Arabidopsis thaliana: one gene and its partners. The protein of the gene in region 3 interacts with the protein of the main gene of each other region in a pairwise test. Each region holds a gene or a part of one and is shown on either strand. Other genes may lie near its edges.

What was found.
Region 1: the proteins of AT3G48240 (region 3) and AT5G64430 interact in a two-hybrid assay, tested with the Arabidopsis thaliana proteins (one large-scale study listed by BioGRID).
Region 2: the proteins of AT3G48240 (region 3) and AT5G22355 interact in a two-hybrid assay, tested with the Arabidopsis thaliana proteins (one large-scale study listed by BioGRID).
Region 4: the proteins of AT3G48240 (region 3) and PDE331 interact in a two-hybrid assay, tested with the Arabidopsis thaliana proteins (one large-scale study listed by BioGRID).

Annotation. Positions count from the first base shown.
Region 1 is NC_003076.8:25,761,619-25,766,204, reverse strand, and holds AT5G64430 (Octicosapeptide/Phox/Bem1p family protein), read left to right. Parts: upstream 1-1,784; 5' UTR 1,785-2,123; coding exon 2,124-3,665; 3' UTR 3,666-4,045; downstream 4,046-4,586.
Region 2 is NC_003076.8:7,399,671-7,404,476, reverse strand, and holds AT5G22355 (Cysteine/Histidine-rich C1 domain family protein), read right to left. Parts: upstream 2,771-4,806; 5' UTR 2,716-2,770; coding exon 721-2,715; 3' UTR 505-720; downstream 1-504. Other genes in the region: VAMP714 (vesicle-associated membrane protein 714), read left to right, coding at 8-98; ELM1 (fission ELM1-like protein (DUF1022)), read left to right, coding at 3,731-3,916, 4,597-4,806.
Region 3 is NC_003074.8:17,865,408-17,868,993, forward strand, and holds AT3G48240 (Octicosapeptide/Phox/Bem1p family protein), read left to right. Parts: upstream 1-1,723; 5' UTR 1,724-1,973; coding exon 1,974-2,130; intron 2,131-2,214; coding exon 2,215-2,600; 3' UTR 2,601-3,053; downstream 3,054-3,586.
Region 4 is NC_003071.7:113,196-118,305, reverse strand, and holds PDE331 (Octicosapeptide/Phox/Bem1p family protein), read right to left. Parts: upstream 3,381-5,110; 5' UTR 3,284-3,380; coding exon 1,983-3,283; intron 1,872-1,982; coding exon 1,010-1,871; 3' UTR 556-1,009; downstream 1-555.

The DNA of each region.
Region 1 (4,586 bases), on a different chromosome or scaffold from region 3:
TGGAATTGATATCATAGATCACACACGTCACTGTTCTATAAGTCAAACACTTGAGAAAATTGCCAAAACAAAACAAAACCGATGAATCTCTAGTATCTTTCACCTTATCATAAGAATCTGTTATCCAGAATCAGAACAAATTAAGTGAAATAAAAAACAAAAACTGGTAAGAACTATGAGAATCGGAGAATCCAAGTAATCAGATTCAAGGAAACCACGCCAAGGCAGAAATTTCAGAAACCAGAATCACAGGCGAAACGAACAATGGTTGTGGAAGATTCGGATTGCGAACCTGAAAGAAGAAACTTAAAAAGAGGAATCTGAGAAACGATGATCCGATCCGGCGAAGGATTACTAAATGAAGAAAGCCGTGCGGAGATGAGCGGTGAAGTTGTTGGGAACTTGAATGTTATATGTTAGCTTCAAATCTTAAGCTTCTTGTACTGATTTGTACATAATTCAAGTGTACATTGAACTCGTCTCATTTGTTGAAATGTTCCAACCATGTTCTCAAATTTATGAAACTACCCCTTTATTATGTAAATATATAATTTTGGCCCGTTAACTAATGTTTTTCATTATCACACCTAACAATTTCTTTATATTTACGATGAAGTAGTGAAAACACTTTCATTTGCATTCAGTTGGATTTTTTGGTTTCCATATGGAGCCATTTCATATGATACTTACTAATTCAAAGCTAGGAATACTTCATTTATTTGATTTGGTTTCATTTGAACATAATTGGATTTATGTTAGTACATAGTTTCATTTAAAATAATATTCGATTCCATTTTTCTTTTGTGCTTATTAGATTCGAAAAATTTGATTCGTTATAATATTCAAATATTACTACAAGAAAACTATCAATAATAGGACTAACTATATAAGAGGCTCTTAAGTAATCAAAAAGTATGGTCGACATTCGTATAATGCTAAATTCTAGTATATCTAGTGAAATCAAAAGTTTTGGCTAAGATGCATCTTTACCAAAATTCGGTTGATTGACTTGCTCTGCCAAGTACAAACAACCACGAGACACGACTTGATTTATGACTGATCGAGCAACATCGTACCGGGACGGCGGGCCGATTAGTCCATATATATATGGATTATTTAAGAGGATGAGAAAATAATGAACATTTCTAAGTTCTAACACAAAATAATATTGGAAGAAATACTAATCAATGCACATGTCTTCGACAAACAAGGAAAACAACAAAAATTGTTACGTGAATTTGACAATATAAATATTGTTCTTGTACGACCATGATTGCACCTTCGGCATGCTAGTGAAATACGTCTATTATAAGTTTGAATAATTACAACAATTTCACCGTTTATAATAAGGTGCAAGTTGGCAATAATCTAAGGTATATAATAATAGCAAACAATCGAGAAAGTGAGTATACACTCACCGGTGTCAAATTTAAATTATCTTATATTCTTGATGTTAATTTAACATAACAATTTTTTTTTGTTGACCCTTTTACAGTTTTCTTCTGCATGTTGACAGACTAAAAAACATCTATCTTCTAGAACTAACCCAAAGACTATTCGGATGTGTAATACAGTTGATGAATGATGATGATTCAAACATTCAAATATTTGTTATACACAAAAGAAATCCAATAACACAATCATAAAACATATCTAAGCCTGATCAGGCGAAAGATCGACGACAACGACTTTTGTTTTTCCCTTTTTCTTAACTATTTATTTATCACTTAACCTTAAAAATATTGCTTCACTAATGTTGATTTAACAAAATATTAAGAAAAAACATGTAAAAGGCTAAAAGCTGGCCTCTTTCAACGTCGAAGTATCAAAACACTAGTGTTGGGCCCATTCACAGTGTCCCCAAAAGTCATATTAATCCATGGAGAGATTCAGCTAACGTCACAGAACCGTCACATAATCTCATCACCGCCTTAAAACTCATAAAATCTGACAGGCCACGTGTAAATGAGCAATAAGTTCACGTACTCATTTTCCAACACCACCATCACCGATACATAATAAAAACCATTTCATCACAACAGTCTTCTTCATTTCTTTCTAATTTCTTCTCTTCATGAATTAAGCCAAACCAACAAAAAAAATCATTTAATTTTCGCGGAGAGATGGAGAAATTCTCGTACAACTCTTATCCAGATTCAACCGACTCGTCACCGAGATCTCGTGAGATCGAATTCGATAACCCGCCGCCTCCATGGGATGATCAGAACCAGAACCAGCAGCAACATAGCTACAAGGTGAAGTTTATGTGCAGCTATGGCGGCAAGATTCAGCCACGGCCTCACGATAATCAGCTCACTTACGTAAACGGAGAAACGAAGATTCTTTCCGTTGATCGCGGGATTAGATTCCCTGTTTTAGCTTCCAAACTCTCCACCGTATGCGGCGGCGGTGATGGCGGCGGAGGAGAAGTTACGTTTAAGTATCAGCTTCCGGGAGAAGACTTAGACGCTTTGATCTCGGTTACGAACGATGATGATCTGGAGCATATGATGCACGAGTACGATCGCTTGCTTCGTTTGTCGTCTAAGCCAGCGAGGATGCGTTTGTTTCTCTTCCCGGCTTCTTCTGGATTTGGTTCTCAAAGTTCGACTCAATCGGATCGAGATCGCTTCGTCGAGGCGTTGAACACTGTTCCTAGGCTATCTGAATCGGAGAAATCCGTAACTGCTCCTCCGAATAATGCGGATTTTTTGTTTGGATCGGAGAAAGTTGCAGCTCCGCCGCCGCCACCACCGGCTGAGGTGAAATTACCGGTTCCTGTGGCGTTAGAACCGCCTTTGTTTAACGATCCGCGTGTGATTCAACCGGATCACGTCGTAAATCCGATGGAAATTCAAAGACAAATGCAGGAATTTCAGAGGATGCATATTAGGGATCAAGAACAACAACAACAACAGGAAGCTGTATACAGAAGGAAGAGTAACGAAGACGGTTTAATAGAAACCGGAGGTGGATACTTCTCTCCACCGTACATACAAAATCCTGCGCCACCACCGCCACAGCAGACGATTCCTCAAACGAATCCGCAAGCTCCTCCGATGACGACTTTCTGGCAAGGAAACCACAATCCAGGAGTCGTATTTCCAACAACCACACATGGATTAGGATTACCAGAGCAACCAGTTTACATGATCCCATCTCCATCTCCATCTCCGGTGTACCACGCGCCACCACCACCGCAACCGCAAGGTGTCATCAGACCAATACTTACAGGACAAGTAAACCAAGGCGGCTACTATCCTCAGGTACAGAGAGTGGCTTCAGATACTTACAGAGAACCACACCAATCACCGTACAACGTGGCTCAGCCACTTCAGGCACCTATAGGAACAAAAGCAGCACAACAACAACAACCTCCTCCTCCTCAGCCTTTTACCTCTGGTCCTCCACCACCGCAATACACCGCAGTACCACCGCCACGACAAGTAGTAGGATTACCAGATACATCAGCGTATACTCAGGTGACTTACACTGGAGGAATGGGGAAACAAGTTTATTACACGGAGGCTCCACCGCCGCAGTACCATGGAGTTGGCTTACCTGTAACTGGTATGAGTGAATTGAGAACTGGACCGGACGGGAAGCTTGTTGCTATGAACATGGCACCTAAAGTTTCATCTCAGAGTTCAGATTCGGCTGTTTGATTGATGAGGTATTTCATATGGTTGAATCAGATTATTGTTAATCTATTACAACAAATTTCATCATCTTTTATATATATATATATATATAGTGTAATTAAGATCACTTTGGTGTCTGATAAATAATGTTTTTTTCTTTTTCCCTTTATCTACTTGTTTATTTTATCTTATGATGATGTTCTTGATTCTGCAACTTCCATCGCGTTGCTTAAATCCAGTCTATTGTGCATTTGATTGCATTTATCTGAGAACCTTTTAAGCCATTTTACCTTTATTTTTCTTTTCGCCATAATAAGCTGAACTCCTTTTTTCTATCCAAGTGGTGTAGTTGTCCTTCGGCCATAATATATATGGGTTGTTCCACATGAAAATCATTTTGTTGTGGAAGATAGAACATTTCAAAATCAATAATTGGCTTCTTTGTAAAGAGATAAATATACACTCTCTCGTATGTGACCAGACTTTTAGTTAAATGGTCTACTAGAAGTTCTCTGCGTCATCTTAGCTACATTTAAACCGAATTTTCTACAATATATGATTTTAAAATATAAACTGGTCCAAAGAAAACTATCTATCAAACTCAGGGACAGGTGTTATGGGAAAGGATATTATTAGACTACGAGTTTTGAACTTTTAAGAATCCTTACAAAGAAAAGTCATATAGCTTTAGTCACTCACTTATCGGCCATGTCATAAACTTATTTGTTGCATCCTTCCCGAATCAATAAACGACACTTTAAGTATGTATATGAATCACCATCAACATCATCACGGAATACAATGCATCAATCGAAACAGAAAACCCCCCTATTAAATTATGATATCTAAAACAGGTGTCTCTTTTACACTAGTCTATGTCTCAGGTAAGTCTCACTTTATCAATTTTTGGATCATTTTGTACTCTGTCAACGCATGAATTCCCGA
Region 2 (4,806 bases), on a different chromosome or scaffold from region 3:
TCGGCAGGGTCTTGTTGACATGCTTGATAGTTTTCTTGCTGTACATAATAATCGCATCTTTCTGCGGAGGAATCACTTTACCATCATGCAGATCTTAAAATCTGGCGGCCTTATCTAAGGTATACTGAAACGGACCACTGTTTTTGTAAATCAACTCAGTCGCATCATTTCGATTTGAAGCCTTGGTTTTGTCATGAAAATGACTGTGAGTTTGAAGTTACATGTCATGGTCCTCCTTGCTTATGTAACTCTTGTAAATGTCAAAATCAAAATGATACAGAGGTTCATTGAACTCTTGCCTTGTCTTTTAGATTTAGTCACGTGAGTGAGTTTGTTCTCTGTATTTCCAAAACTTTATCCGCTGTGTCTTTATAATTTTTGCATTTGCAATGTACATCACATATTCGTTATTTTTGTTGTTAAAATTACTTCAGTTTTCATCTTTGTTTAATAACATTTCTGATTCACAAATATCTGTTTCCATCATTTCTGTCTATGTTTTCATTAACTAAATCATATTAGTTGCTACTACCTTTTTAGCAAGTTTGTCATAACTTGTTACGACTTTATATATGTCATCGATACAGTTTAATCCTGCCTGTACTGATGAACACAGTATGAATATAACCAGAATGCTTAGCACTTGTAGTTGGAAATAAACTCTTACATCCAAAAAATTACGAGAAACAATAGAGTGAAATAAACAGCTACATAGTTGTCTTAGCTGTATTGATAGTCGGGCACTACACATGCATCGGAACAAATGTATCCAGTATATGGATCACAAAGCTTTAGAATGATAGGAGCTCTGCATCTGGAGTGACATTTTGCACAGAAGGGGCGAGAACTATAGCTGTTAAGAACCACTTCAACTCTAACATTATTGTAGTTGATGATGCGTCCTGGCATGAGACGTGAAAAGTCTCCAAGCACACATTCAATATGTGCAGTAACCACACATTTAGAGCAAGTGTAGAACCACTTACTTGGATCTGTTTCCGCCTCGCAAATATCACACCAATATTTTCCGGTTGCATTTTCGCCATAGCATAGGGAAAGAGGATGATTGTCGCAGCTGTGCTTTACCGTTTTTGGTAAATCAGTACAGTGTAAATCCAGATCAAAGTCACAAGTGTCACAGGAAAGCAGATAACCATCTATCTCTTTATAACATGCATCACAACAGTGATCTTTCTTATGTTCGTAATATAGAGGATGTCTGTGACCATCATGAATGACCGGTTCAGAACGCGAACCACAACGTACATCTAGAACCCACCAATCAGAAACGTACCTGAAACCAGTAGACTTCGTTCTACAAGCATAGCAGCGAAAGACATCGTAGAATCTAAAATCTTTGCTATGGAATGTACGAGGTGGTCTGGACCATAGTGTGAATGGTTTTGTGTGGAATACATGTCGTTTCTTTTTTGGATGATTAGCGCATTTCTCATGGAGAATGAAACGACATTCCTCACAGTTGTAGATCGGATCGGAATAGATAGGAAGGACGCATGCTTCACAACGTGAGCCTTCGTCACGATTGATATTGTCCTTGTTGAGTCTTAGATTATGTTCTTCATGACTGAAATGCTTGATCAAGTTATCACCCACCACTTTGAACGGCACAATATCTTCGTCATCATCATCTGGTGTCCCTTCGAGTTCTACCCCATCCCATACGTCTTTTCTTGTTGCACATAGTGAATGAGCTGCATAGTTCGGGCAACGAGGGCATAAATAAGCCCCATGGTATTGACTTATATCTTTGCGACAAATACCGCATCTCGAGTACCCAACACCGAGATGATGGGTGAAAGAGATGCGATGATCGTGACGGTTGATGTTTATGACACGTGGTAAGTCAATACAAGTTCTATGGACAACAAACCCGCATTGAACACACATGTAAGGACTTCGATCACCTTGCATCCCACAAGCATTACATTCAAATGAGATGAGTCTTGATAAGAGGACAAGTCGATGCTCGTGCGTCTTATGATGCTCGATAGCAAGTGGTGGTGGATCTTTTGTACAGAATCGACATACGCTGAAGTTGCATATCGAGCAGCGATAAAGCACTTTGTCTGGTCGTTCTCCACATAAAAGACATGTCTCTTCAGCATCACTTGTTAGTGATTCATATTCAAGTAACTTGAGAGAATGTTGAGGATGAGAAGGATGATTCACCTCTTGGGAAAGATTGACACACTCGACATGAAAGTGGACTTCACATTCAAGACATGCATAAGAACATCCACCATTATAGCCCTTGCAAATTCCGCATCTGCGCCTACCCGGCTTTGCGGGTTCTTTCAAGAAGATAACTGGATGATGATGAGACTTTGGATGTTCGATAGAAACCGGCAATGGATTTATCCCACAAGTGAGATCCACGATGAAGTCACATTTTGATGAACAACGATAACCAAAAGCGAAAAAAGTCTTGCCACATAGATTACATTTACATGGGTTCCTTAGAGAATTGTGGAGTTTAAGAGTGTGTTGAGGATGAGAAGGATGGTTGATAATCTCCGGTGGAGCCTCTGCGCACTCTTTGTGGAAGAACAAACTAGTAGAGGAAGGCTCGTTGCAACGGTAGCCGCCATAGATGGGACCTTTTATATTGCAACCTTTACAAGAATCATTAACAAAACGAGTCGAAATGGTCAAAGGATATTTGTGAGTTGGTAGTATTTTGGGTGGTAGATCCATTTTGTGATTCAAATGCGGTTTGTTTTCTGGAGATCTCAAGATAATACTACATCATATGAATGCATCTTTGTAACCCCAATATAACAAAGACACGTAATGTGTGAACACCTTAACGATTCTTGTCTCCAATGAATCATGTGCAATCGATCCTGTTTTCCACGAGATGATTATAATATATAGTTGAATTATTTCATATTCCTAACTGTTTACAACCTGCACACATTAAATTATCTTATCATCGTTATAGCTACCTATGAATATAATAGTATGAAAATACCCAATAAATTAATTTCCTAAACTCAACATCTAACGTGTTAACAACAGCTAAGATATATAATTATATTGAATCATTTCTGCAATTTCATATTCTCTATCGTGACACTCGGAGTCTTGAGATCGCTAGATTTCTTTGAATACTATGATTGGTAAAGTCGTGTGTAAAAAAGTTAGACCGAGACAAAACGAGGCACAGGAAGAACAATAACAGTTGGGCTTTTTCCAGATAAGGCTTCACCTTTTAACAATCAAATTCTACATATTGGGCCTACGAAGAGGTTCATAAGATTTGAATAGACAATTAGAAAAACAGCAATTATGTGACAAATAGTGTTTTATTCTAATTTTGGATGACTATCGGTGAAATTTTAATTTTAATCATCATATAACAAAACAAAATTCCAAAACTTCAAATTCTAAAATCAAAATTTTTAAAATACCATACAATTTCTTTTTTTTTAAACAATTGTATGTTTTGTATTGACAAAATTAGTTTTATTGATTAGCAAAAAATTCGTTTAAGACCTTAAATTTGTCCTTTGTTAATTGTTATACCAAATTTTAGCGTAAAGACAATCTCTTGAAGGAGAAAAGGAAAACAATCTCTCTTTCTGTGACCTTTCGCAACTTGTCAAAGCACCACGACCTTCTCTCTACGGAGTTGAGATCAATCCCCCCAAATCTCGGTGTGGTTCCTCTAGGGTTTTTGATCGGAATCGGAATCGATAATCTAACCGGCATGAGGCCAATCCTATTGCCGGATCCACCCAGTCTATCTACCGGCGTCCCTGATATTTTCGAACAAGGCGGTTCCCATAACGTCGTCAGACGCGCCGTCGTCATCGGAAACGGTTTCCCTGGCTCCGAGAATCAGTGTATCGGTCTCGTTCGTGCGCTCGGCTTATCTGATAATCACCTTCTCTACGTGAGTTTCTTTGATCTAGGCTCTAGACGTTTTTAGCATCTGCTTAGTGCTTTCATTTCGTCGACTATAAACCATTGATACTATACTCGAAATTCTCGTCAGTTTTTGCTAGGCGCATGATGTAGTTGAGAGATTGATGATTGCTTTTGGATAGGAGTTTCTTTTACTTTGTTGTTTCGTCGTGTGTTCTAGGTTTTTAGCTTGTTAGGTCTCAGTCTAAGTAGGAGTGGAAATTTCATATTGTTTAGTACTTCTTTAGAGTGTATGAATGTTCAGAGAAGGAGGAACTATTTGAATTTTTATGGAAACAATGAATTGGTAAATATGTAAATTTGCCAATATCTCAAGTTCTGCAAATTTAGGGTAAACAGTGGAAGGTTCTTGGGGTGTCATAACTACCTATATTGTCAGTTTTATTTATAATTTTTTTTGGTAAATCTTAAAGAGAATTGAATCATTGGTGGAGCATGATGCTGGTGCAATTACTGAATTTCGTTTACAAGGAACACTGGTAGTGGAGTCTTTAATGCTTCTTTTAGATCAGTTTGGATGCATATAAGGCTGTTTTGCTGTGTCTGGTTTCTCTAGCTTCTTGATCATTCATAGACTCGACATTCACGTAAATTTACATTTAACATGATTTTTGGTTAGCTGAGATTATCTCTTTTTCTTTATGCAAGCGAGTGACAAGGCCTAAAGGAGGACTAAATGAGTGGCTGCACTGGCTCCCAGTTGGTTTTCACAAGAAGTTGGACTTTATCCTCAGGCATATTTACCTCTACTCCAGATTGATGCTTGGATCCAAACAAAGTAAATACATCTCATCTGTACCCTCAGAGAATGGTGGTAATGTAGGTTTGGCCTCTATTCTAGAGGCTGATGTGAAGGGC
Region 3 (3,586 bases):
ATCGGTTGAAGATGATTTTAGAGTCAATTATTTTCTTGTTGTTGTGGATATGGCAATTTCTTCGGTAAAGAATAGTTTTGAACAAATGATGACTTTTAAAAGTGTATTTGGATTTTTGTTTGATTTATTGAAATTAAAATCACTTGATGAAGGTGAATTAAAAGAGCATTGCATTATTTTTCACAAAACATTTTCTCATGAGAATGTCTCGGATATTGATTTAAATGATCTTTTTCGGAATTAAAAGTTTTGCAAATGACTTTATACCAAGTGTCAATGACACCTAGTGAAGTGCCTGAGTTTGTAGAAAATGTAGGATGTTATCCCAATGTTTCAATCGCTTATCGAATCCTATTAACAACACCCGTGACGGTGGCTTAGACCGAGAGAAGCTTCTCAAAATTGAAGTTATTAAAAAATTATATGAGGTCCTCTATGTCTCAACAAAGGTTGAATGGTCTAGTTATTCTATGCATTGAAAAAGTTAGTGATGAGGACATAAATTCAAACTGTACTGAAGTTACTCGGGTTCCGACAATGTATCAACCGCCTAGAACAAGGTCCGGTTCAAAGACGATGCGGGAAGAATTCAACAAAGCTGTGGAGAGTTTGATAACCTATAGAGAAATGGAAAACACCATCAATCAATTCGATAATCTCACTCTTTGTAGTAACAAGCTTAAAGAACAAGAAACGGAGTCAACGGAGCAACAAGTTACGGTTACAACTCAAGACTTAAGTGTTGCCCAAGCTTTTGTGATCCAACAAGTGAAAGGCCTCTCCTTAAGACAAACGAAGCCCATGTTCTCTTTGTCATCACTCCAAGGGACGCCATTTAAGGAATGTCCGTAGTGGACGCTTCCAAGGTCGTGAGCTTCCTCTCCAAACTAAGGTATGCATTTAAATCTTCTAATTAGCTGTCAACTTTCCTTTCTTTTGCAGGTTGGGTTGAAATTAGTCTAAGTTTATTTTGTCATTTATTTCTCAATTATTTGTTGCCTTTTTCTTCTCTTTTTCAAGACCCTTGAAGGTCAACGCTGTCGACATATTAATAAGGTCCATTGCAGCCATTGTAGTTCATATTTTTGCTTATTATCAATAAAGAGAGAATTTTCTTTAAAGTGTTTACGAGTTCACCGGTCTTGTGCGGCTTCCCCCTTGATCGTGAGTTCTTTGACTTATTACAATCTCATCATCGATTGTGTGGCGTCTTCGATCCATTCCACCTATTAGCTGAACCAAAGAGAACCGTGTGGTCCTTTGTACCGGCTCCGCCATCTACGTAGAGAGTATCGTGTGGTCATCTACTTGGATCTTATATCAGTTAGTTAGAAAGCATAGACTTTGACACTGTCATTCATGACTTTGCGTTGACTAGAGTTCGTCAAAAGCGTTTCTTTATTTCAAATTAACTATTGTGTTTTATTTTGTTGTTTTAGATCCAATAGAAGAGGATGCATAAGATATGAAGCAATTTAAAGTAATGTGGTATTGATAAATGAAGATATAGAACTTAAAACATGATTATATGAAATGGTTTTTGTTTTAGCATGCTTGAAAAAACTCCTTTTTGTAAGTTGCCGTAAGGCTTCTCGATTGTTTGAGCCGGGACTAAATTTACATGAAAAGATTTGGTTTCGAGAAAGTGTATCAATGAATCGACGACATTAATACATAATTAATTACAGCCAATAAATATGAGCCACTTAACTTCAAAAATACACAAAACTCGATTTCTTTGCGTAATGCGAGGAGAATTAAAAGAGTATTGGGTTATTAATAACAAAATTGTCCAAAACAGCCTTGTGATGTCCAACAAAGGAACGAATATTTTCATTTCCCTGTCCAACAATGACGTCATTTCCTACCTATAAATAAGTTCCACTCGTCCCCCAGAATTCTCGGTTTAAGAGAAAAAGAAACCAAAAGGCAAAAAAGACACAGAAAATTTTGAAACCTAGAAGCTTCTAACAATGGTGGCCGTAGCTGAGAATCAGAAAACGAAGAACAGTCTCAAGTTCCTCTGCAGTTACGGCGGAAGAATCCTCCCTCGTTCTATCGATGGAAAGCTCCGTTACGTCGGCGGTTTCACCAGAGTACTCTCCGTTCATCACTCTATCTCTTTCACAGGTCCGTTTCAATCTTTTTCCCCCCATTCCAATTTCATCTAACTTTTCCAATTCATCGAAATTGATTTTTCTACTTCTCCTTCAGAATTGACGATGAAGTTGGAGGAATTTTGTGGATACTCCGTTGAATTGAAGTGTCAATTACCAAATGGAGATCTCGAGACACTAATCTCCGTCAAATCGGACGAAGATCTGGTGAATATCGTTGAAGAATATGATCGTGTTTACGGAGGCAAGATCCGTGCGATTTTGTCGCCTCCTAAGCAGATGTCACCACGATCTAGCGGCGGCGGTGGAGATCTATCGCCGAAATCGCCGTTCTCCGTCGTGGCTTCTCCATCTCCGCCTCGGTATTGTGTGGCTCCGCCGACGGAGAATCTTCTCAGTAGATTCCGTATGAGAACTGGAGAATACTCTCGTTGCTGTAACTGCCGTGTTCCAAACAGAGACTCCAAGCTTATCTGGCAATAACGTCAGACGGAGAAATAAAAATGGCTTAGAAAAAATAAATGTGAAAAAATGAAATCTAGGGTTTTATGATGTGTTGTTGTATGTGAAGAGAAGGAATTATGAAAATTAGTGAAATTTTGTGGTCGGTGAACAAACGGAGAAGTTGACGGAATATTTTCCCGGCGGTTATTAACCGTTAACTTTGCCGTTAAGATATGTGGGCAACGTACGACGTCAGTTTTATTCAATACGTGGTATGTTGCGACTGTTCCAGACGTGAAACGTGTCGTAGTCAGATGCGAGTACACGTGTGTATTGTGGGGATCAGTGGATGTGTATCCTCACACGTGTACCTCTGTTAGAGTTTCTTATTTTGTTTCCTCAGCAGAGGTTTTGCTCTCCATTCATTGTTTTTGTATTTTGCTAAACTTTCATTTTGTTTTTGTTTGTATATTATATAGATTTATATTGTACATTATTTTATTTTATTTTGTCTTATTTTATGGGTCTAGTCAGGATGACATATATCCAACTAAGTTTTTATTTTCCCAAGAAAAAGAACAAAAAAAAACAGGGAATTATATATAGATCCCAAAAACTATTAATTATTAAATCCCACACTCATAGACAAAAAAAAATAAATTTTTTTTTTTTTGATAGATTGTCAAGTGACCAAAGATCGTAAGAACGCAATTAAGATCTTAACAATATGAATGCATAAACACTGAGGGAGACTGTTTTCTGAAGAAGAATTAATCAAAATTTTATTTTGTTAACAATATGTTAAAATTTGATTTGACCATTTCTCAACAAATTTGATTTACTCGACATCGTTGGATCTAATTGAAGCAAATGTCTTAATCATGTCACTGTGTCACTGAGCCAATCGATCTTCTAACCTTTACAAGTAAAAATTTGGAAAAATAGAAAATGTAGGGCAAGTGGACACTTCTCTAACTTTGGTGAATGGTTAAATGTCAGCATCACTATCACTATAACACACAAGA
Region 4 (5,110 bases), on a different chromosome or scaffold from region 3:
TATGAGCTGATGCTAAAAGAGTGTCAGAAGAGTTAAAGAAAAAAAGACAGAATTGCAGACATGAAAGAGACATAAGACAAGAAAAACCCATTAAGATCCAGTTGGTTTGAAGCAAGGGATGGGGAGCTGACCACAGAGAGAGATTTGGTTCAGATCTTGTAATCCAACCAGGTCTGCCAATGCTTCTGATGCACAAAGTCACATCTCAACTCTGTGAACACTGCAGAAATATTATCTGGGACTATTGACAACTCGATTCAAAGTGAGGCTCTGTGTTGCTTATGAGAGAATAGTGTAGTGCAAGAGTAAAATATCTTTGAGTCATGTATAGAGAGAGAGATAAAAAGGACTGGGTTTGGTGTTTAGGTAAAGATACAAATGCCTATCTCTTTCAAAAGAGATAGTTGTGTTGCTAAATTGCAAGACAGATCGATTTTGTCACTACCTTTTTCACCCACACCTTGTCTCTTAGAAGTTGTAGGGTTTGTGTGTACTTTTGCAAGACCACACACATGTTTTAATATCTGTACCTATGCTCCCATGGATAGCAAGAAGCCAGACATACATTCTTCCAAATATTAAATGTTATACATAACATTTCAGAATCTTTCTGAACAATATTATAGCCTTCAAAGTCTCTTGAAAAAACAAGATAGAGAGATGATGATCAAAAAAGTGATACATTTACAAAATGAAATGAATGATAATAATATGATATAAGATCCAGGAAAATGGTAAAGCACTACATGTATCAATTGCAACTATATAATGTAAAATCCCACCAAGAAGCACTATTTATTTGTTTTTTTAATTTACTCACACAACACTTTTAAACACAACCCATAATACCAAACTTAACATGACACCAGACTCTTTTTTTGATGCAGCAACTTGTAAAAGAAGAGAAGAAAAAAGAAGTAAAAGTTATATATTTATACGTTTAAAAACCAACCCGGGGTTTTCTTCCTCCAAAATTTTGTGGTTCATCTTCATGTGTTCCTTGTGTGTGTCACAATGGCTGTGAACTCCGGATCTGTTGAGTCATGTTCTCAGCTGGAAGCTTAGCAGCAGCAGAACCATCAGGCATCACCATGGCAGGTGGAGGCCCAGTCATTGTCTGGTACTGTGCATGTCCCATAGGTTGAGTGTAGTATATCTGTGTATGAGCATTGTCGACATATTCATATCCATAGTTTGGATTCCCAGCTGAACCAGACTGAGGAGGGTGACGGATCTGCGAATACCCCATGAATTGCTGCTGGTTTGTGGGAATCTGGTGAACCATCTGAGCACCGCCCACACCTGGGGCTGTTGTGTAAACCCCAGCCTGTCCCATCTCAGGTTTGCCACTGCTAACACTTCTCATGTGGTTGTTAGGAGGTGGAGGCATCATGGTAGAGTTGGGATGGTTAGAGGGGATAGACCCTGCAGCATCGCTCACACTTGGAGATTGTGGCACAGGCATACTGTAGGGCCTAGGTGGGACAGGAGCAGTGACATAATAAACAGGATAAGGCTGCTGATCCAGTCGACCTGCGTGTTGATGGAAGGACTGTTGAGGCTGTTGCGAAGGGTAAACCTGGATGTAAGTCGGGACAGGAAGGCCGCTAGACGGATGGTGATGAATGTATTGAGGAGGAGCAGCAGTGTGTATGAACTGCTGCTGTGGCTGAGATTGTGCAGATTGTTGCTCAAACTGGGGGTGAAGGATATAGGCTGGGTCCTGATTCTGATGCTGTGACAAAAGTGTGCTTGGATCTGAGGGATTGATCATACCAGTAACAACGGTAGAGCCAGAAGGTATCTGAGCAATTGGTTCTTGATAGACAGATGGTCTTTGGTGAAACATTGGGTTGCTCATACTGCTATCACTGAGGCATTCATTATATAGCAAACACACAATCAGAGTTCTGACCAATCTTAGTTCTTCTATAGCATCAAATTAAGGCTCATGAGGGTTCCAATATAAGAAGAAAGAGTACCTGGAAACGGAATTGGGTGATGGCAGCTCGTGTCCACCACCGCTATTTGATTTCAGCTGATGAGCCTGCTGAGGCGGTAGATTCTGCGGCTGCGATCGCGGAGTCGGAGGCTTCCTGTATCCAGCCTGCACGCCGTGATCGGATCTCTCGTCATCTGAGTAAACCCTGGCCTGGAACTCATTAGAGACGGTGGCTGCAGTCACAGGCGCAGCAGGAAGGGCGATTGTGACAGGCATCGGCGGTGGTGAAGAGATCGCAGCAAATCCGTCGTCATGTAGCTGATGCTTGTTCCCGACGTTGAATCGTGCGAACTGTTCTTCAATTCCCAGATTTCTCTGATCTGGCAAAGTCCTTACTCCGCCTGGTTCCTCTACATGGACACGGATCGGAGGCAAATTGGCGAGCGAGGGAGACGAAGAAGTGGAGCCGAAAGAAGAGGATGTATCTAACATCGGAGAATCCGGTAAGCAGTTCACATCTTGGCCTCCTTGCTGTTGTTCTTGCTGCTGCGGCGGTGGAGGTTGCTGTTGCTTGGCGCTTTTAACAGAGCCATCATCACCATCTCGATTGTTGTTGTCACCGGAATTAGAACGGAGAGCAAGAGCATCATCCAAACCAAGTAAACGATTGACGTTAGTATCAGAATCTGAGAATCCTCGATTGAGAAGACCGGCGCTATTGAGTGCGTTGAGGAACCAATCGTCGCTCTTGGCAGAGCTCTCAAGGATCTGACCCATAGATTGAGTAGCCTCAGGCTTGGAGGTGAATAGAAACAACCGGAGACGCGAAGGTTTGGTGGAATTGGAAGCGGAAATGGTACGGTCATACTCTTCGATCATGTTGTCGAGATCTTCGTCGGTAGTGACGGAGATGAGAGAGTCAAGGTCTTCGCTAGGTAACTGGTACTTGAGGGTGAAGGAACGACCGTCGAGAAGCGTGTTGGAGAGACGAGCGATGAGAGAAGGGAGAGAGGAGTTACGGTCGACGACAACGATGCGAGTGTCACCGCCCATGTAGCAGAGAGACTTATCGTGAGGGCGAGGAAGGATATGACCGCCGTAGCTACACATAAAACGAAGTTTAGAAGAGACGGCGCTACCACCACCGCCACCGCCGCCGCCAGAAGGAGCAGGAAGGTCATCCCAGCCATCGGTGGTGCGAGAACGAGGGGAGGAGTCGAGAGATTCGGGGTAAGAAGAAGTCACGTGAGGAGGTAGAGGAGGAGGAACAGGAGCAGTGGCGGCGGAGATGGAGGTGGAAGCCACCGCGGTGGAGGACAGAGAAGAAGGCGGTGGTTCCATTTGCAGAAGAAAAATTAAATTGAATTTGATATTTAGAGAGAGAAAGAGTTAGTACTTAGTAGTAGTATAGCTGTTAGTCCACGACTTGTATGTAAATGTAGACTACAGCTGTTTTTTTTTTCTTCTTTTTATTTTCCTCTTAAATCTCATTTTTGGCATATTTTACTATTTTTACCAAACAATTATGGTTAAATTTATTTCTCTTTCAGTCCAATTTCTTTCAGTTTTTTTTTTTTTATAATGACATTTTAATAGAAAATCATGAAATTGATAAGAATGTTTGTGTGTATTACCTTAATAGTGTTAGTGAATTTGTGTGTATTACCTTTCAAAATTGTATTTGTTCGTGATGGTTTATCTGATGCCATGTATATCATTTTGTGTTGATAAGAATGTTTGATGCAATTAAGACCAACATGCTCTTTCAAATGGATGTATGTATGATCAACTATATAAACCATCCGTCAAGCAGTAAGTATAAATTGTGTATGCGAGTTAACTGCGAATCGAGAGACCGAGTTCTCAAAAATGTTGTTACATACGTGTCGGGATTTTTCATAGACATTACTTCCTTTATATCAAAATATACGATGTTTTAGGATTTTTTTTTAAAATATATATCATGTTTTACAAATTTTTAAATACATTTGATATTTTATGATCATTTTTATTATGCAATCTTTTATATCATTGACAAATTTTCTTGAATTAAATATTAAATAATTATTTTTTAAAAAAATATTTTAATACAAAGAGAGTAAGATTTATCACTATCTTAAAATTTTTGTTATTAGTTAGGAAATAAAAACTCACACTATAATGATCGCCTCAATGTTATTTTGTCGACTTTCTTATGGATACATCTAATGCATTATCAACTATATAAACCGTTTGTCAACGAGTAAATACAATTTGTGTATGTGAGCTAACTGGAAATTGAGAGACGGAGATTCCATAAATGTGGTTACATATATGTCGGGATTTTCCATAAACACTACTTCCCTTATATCAAATTATAAGATGTTTTAGAAAAATTTTAAAATAATATATACTTTTTACCAATTTTTATGCAAATTTTAAATATTTTGATATTTTATGACCATTTGTATTATGCAGCCTTTATATCATTGGCTGAATTTTTTTGAATTAAATTATTTAATACTTCTTTTCAAAAACAATTTATTTTTTTCAAGTGTATGCATTTTAGCTAAAACATCCTACCTTTTAATACAAAGGTAGTATTTTTTTGTTATTAGTTAGAATGTAAAAACTCACAATATAATGATCGCAAATATGATTAAATTTAACGTATCATTAGGCTATTGTAGTACGGCTGGTGACAAAAATATTTTATTTAGTAAACTAGTATACCCACTACAAACAGTCAAACAATGTTAATATAATTTAATTAGTTAATTGGTTATTTTGTTAAAGAAAAGCAACAAACTGATGATAATTTAGTTTTCTACTACTACTGTATATTAATATATATAAATATATAATATTACCAAAAAGAGTTATAAAAAAAACCCAACGGTTATAAGTTATAACATACAACAAGGTCACATGAAAATGGTGAATAACCCCAAAACAAATATATTTTGGCACATTAGCAACAAATGCACGAGATTATTACCTTTTCAAATCACTTTAATCAACAATTTAGAAAGGAATAAGATGAATAGAGTTTCCTAAAGCAAAGTAATGAATAAAATTGGACGATGATATGATTATGGAAAGCTGATTCGTAATTACTTTGATTAGTAAAAGGTGAGACATTATAAGCGTTACTAATCAAAAGTTGTAATTAAGGAATCAAAGAAGTTG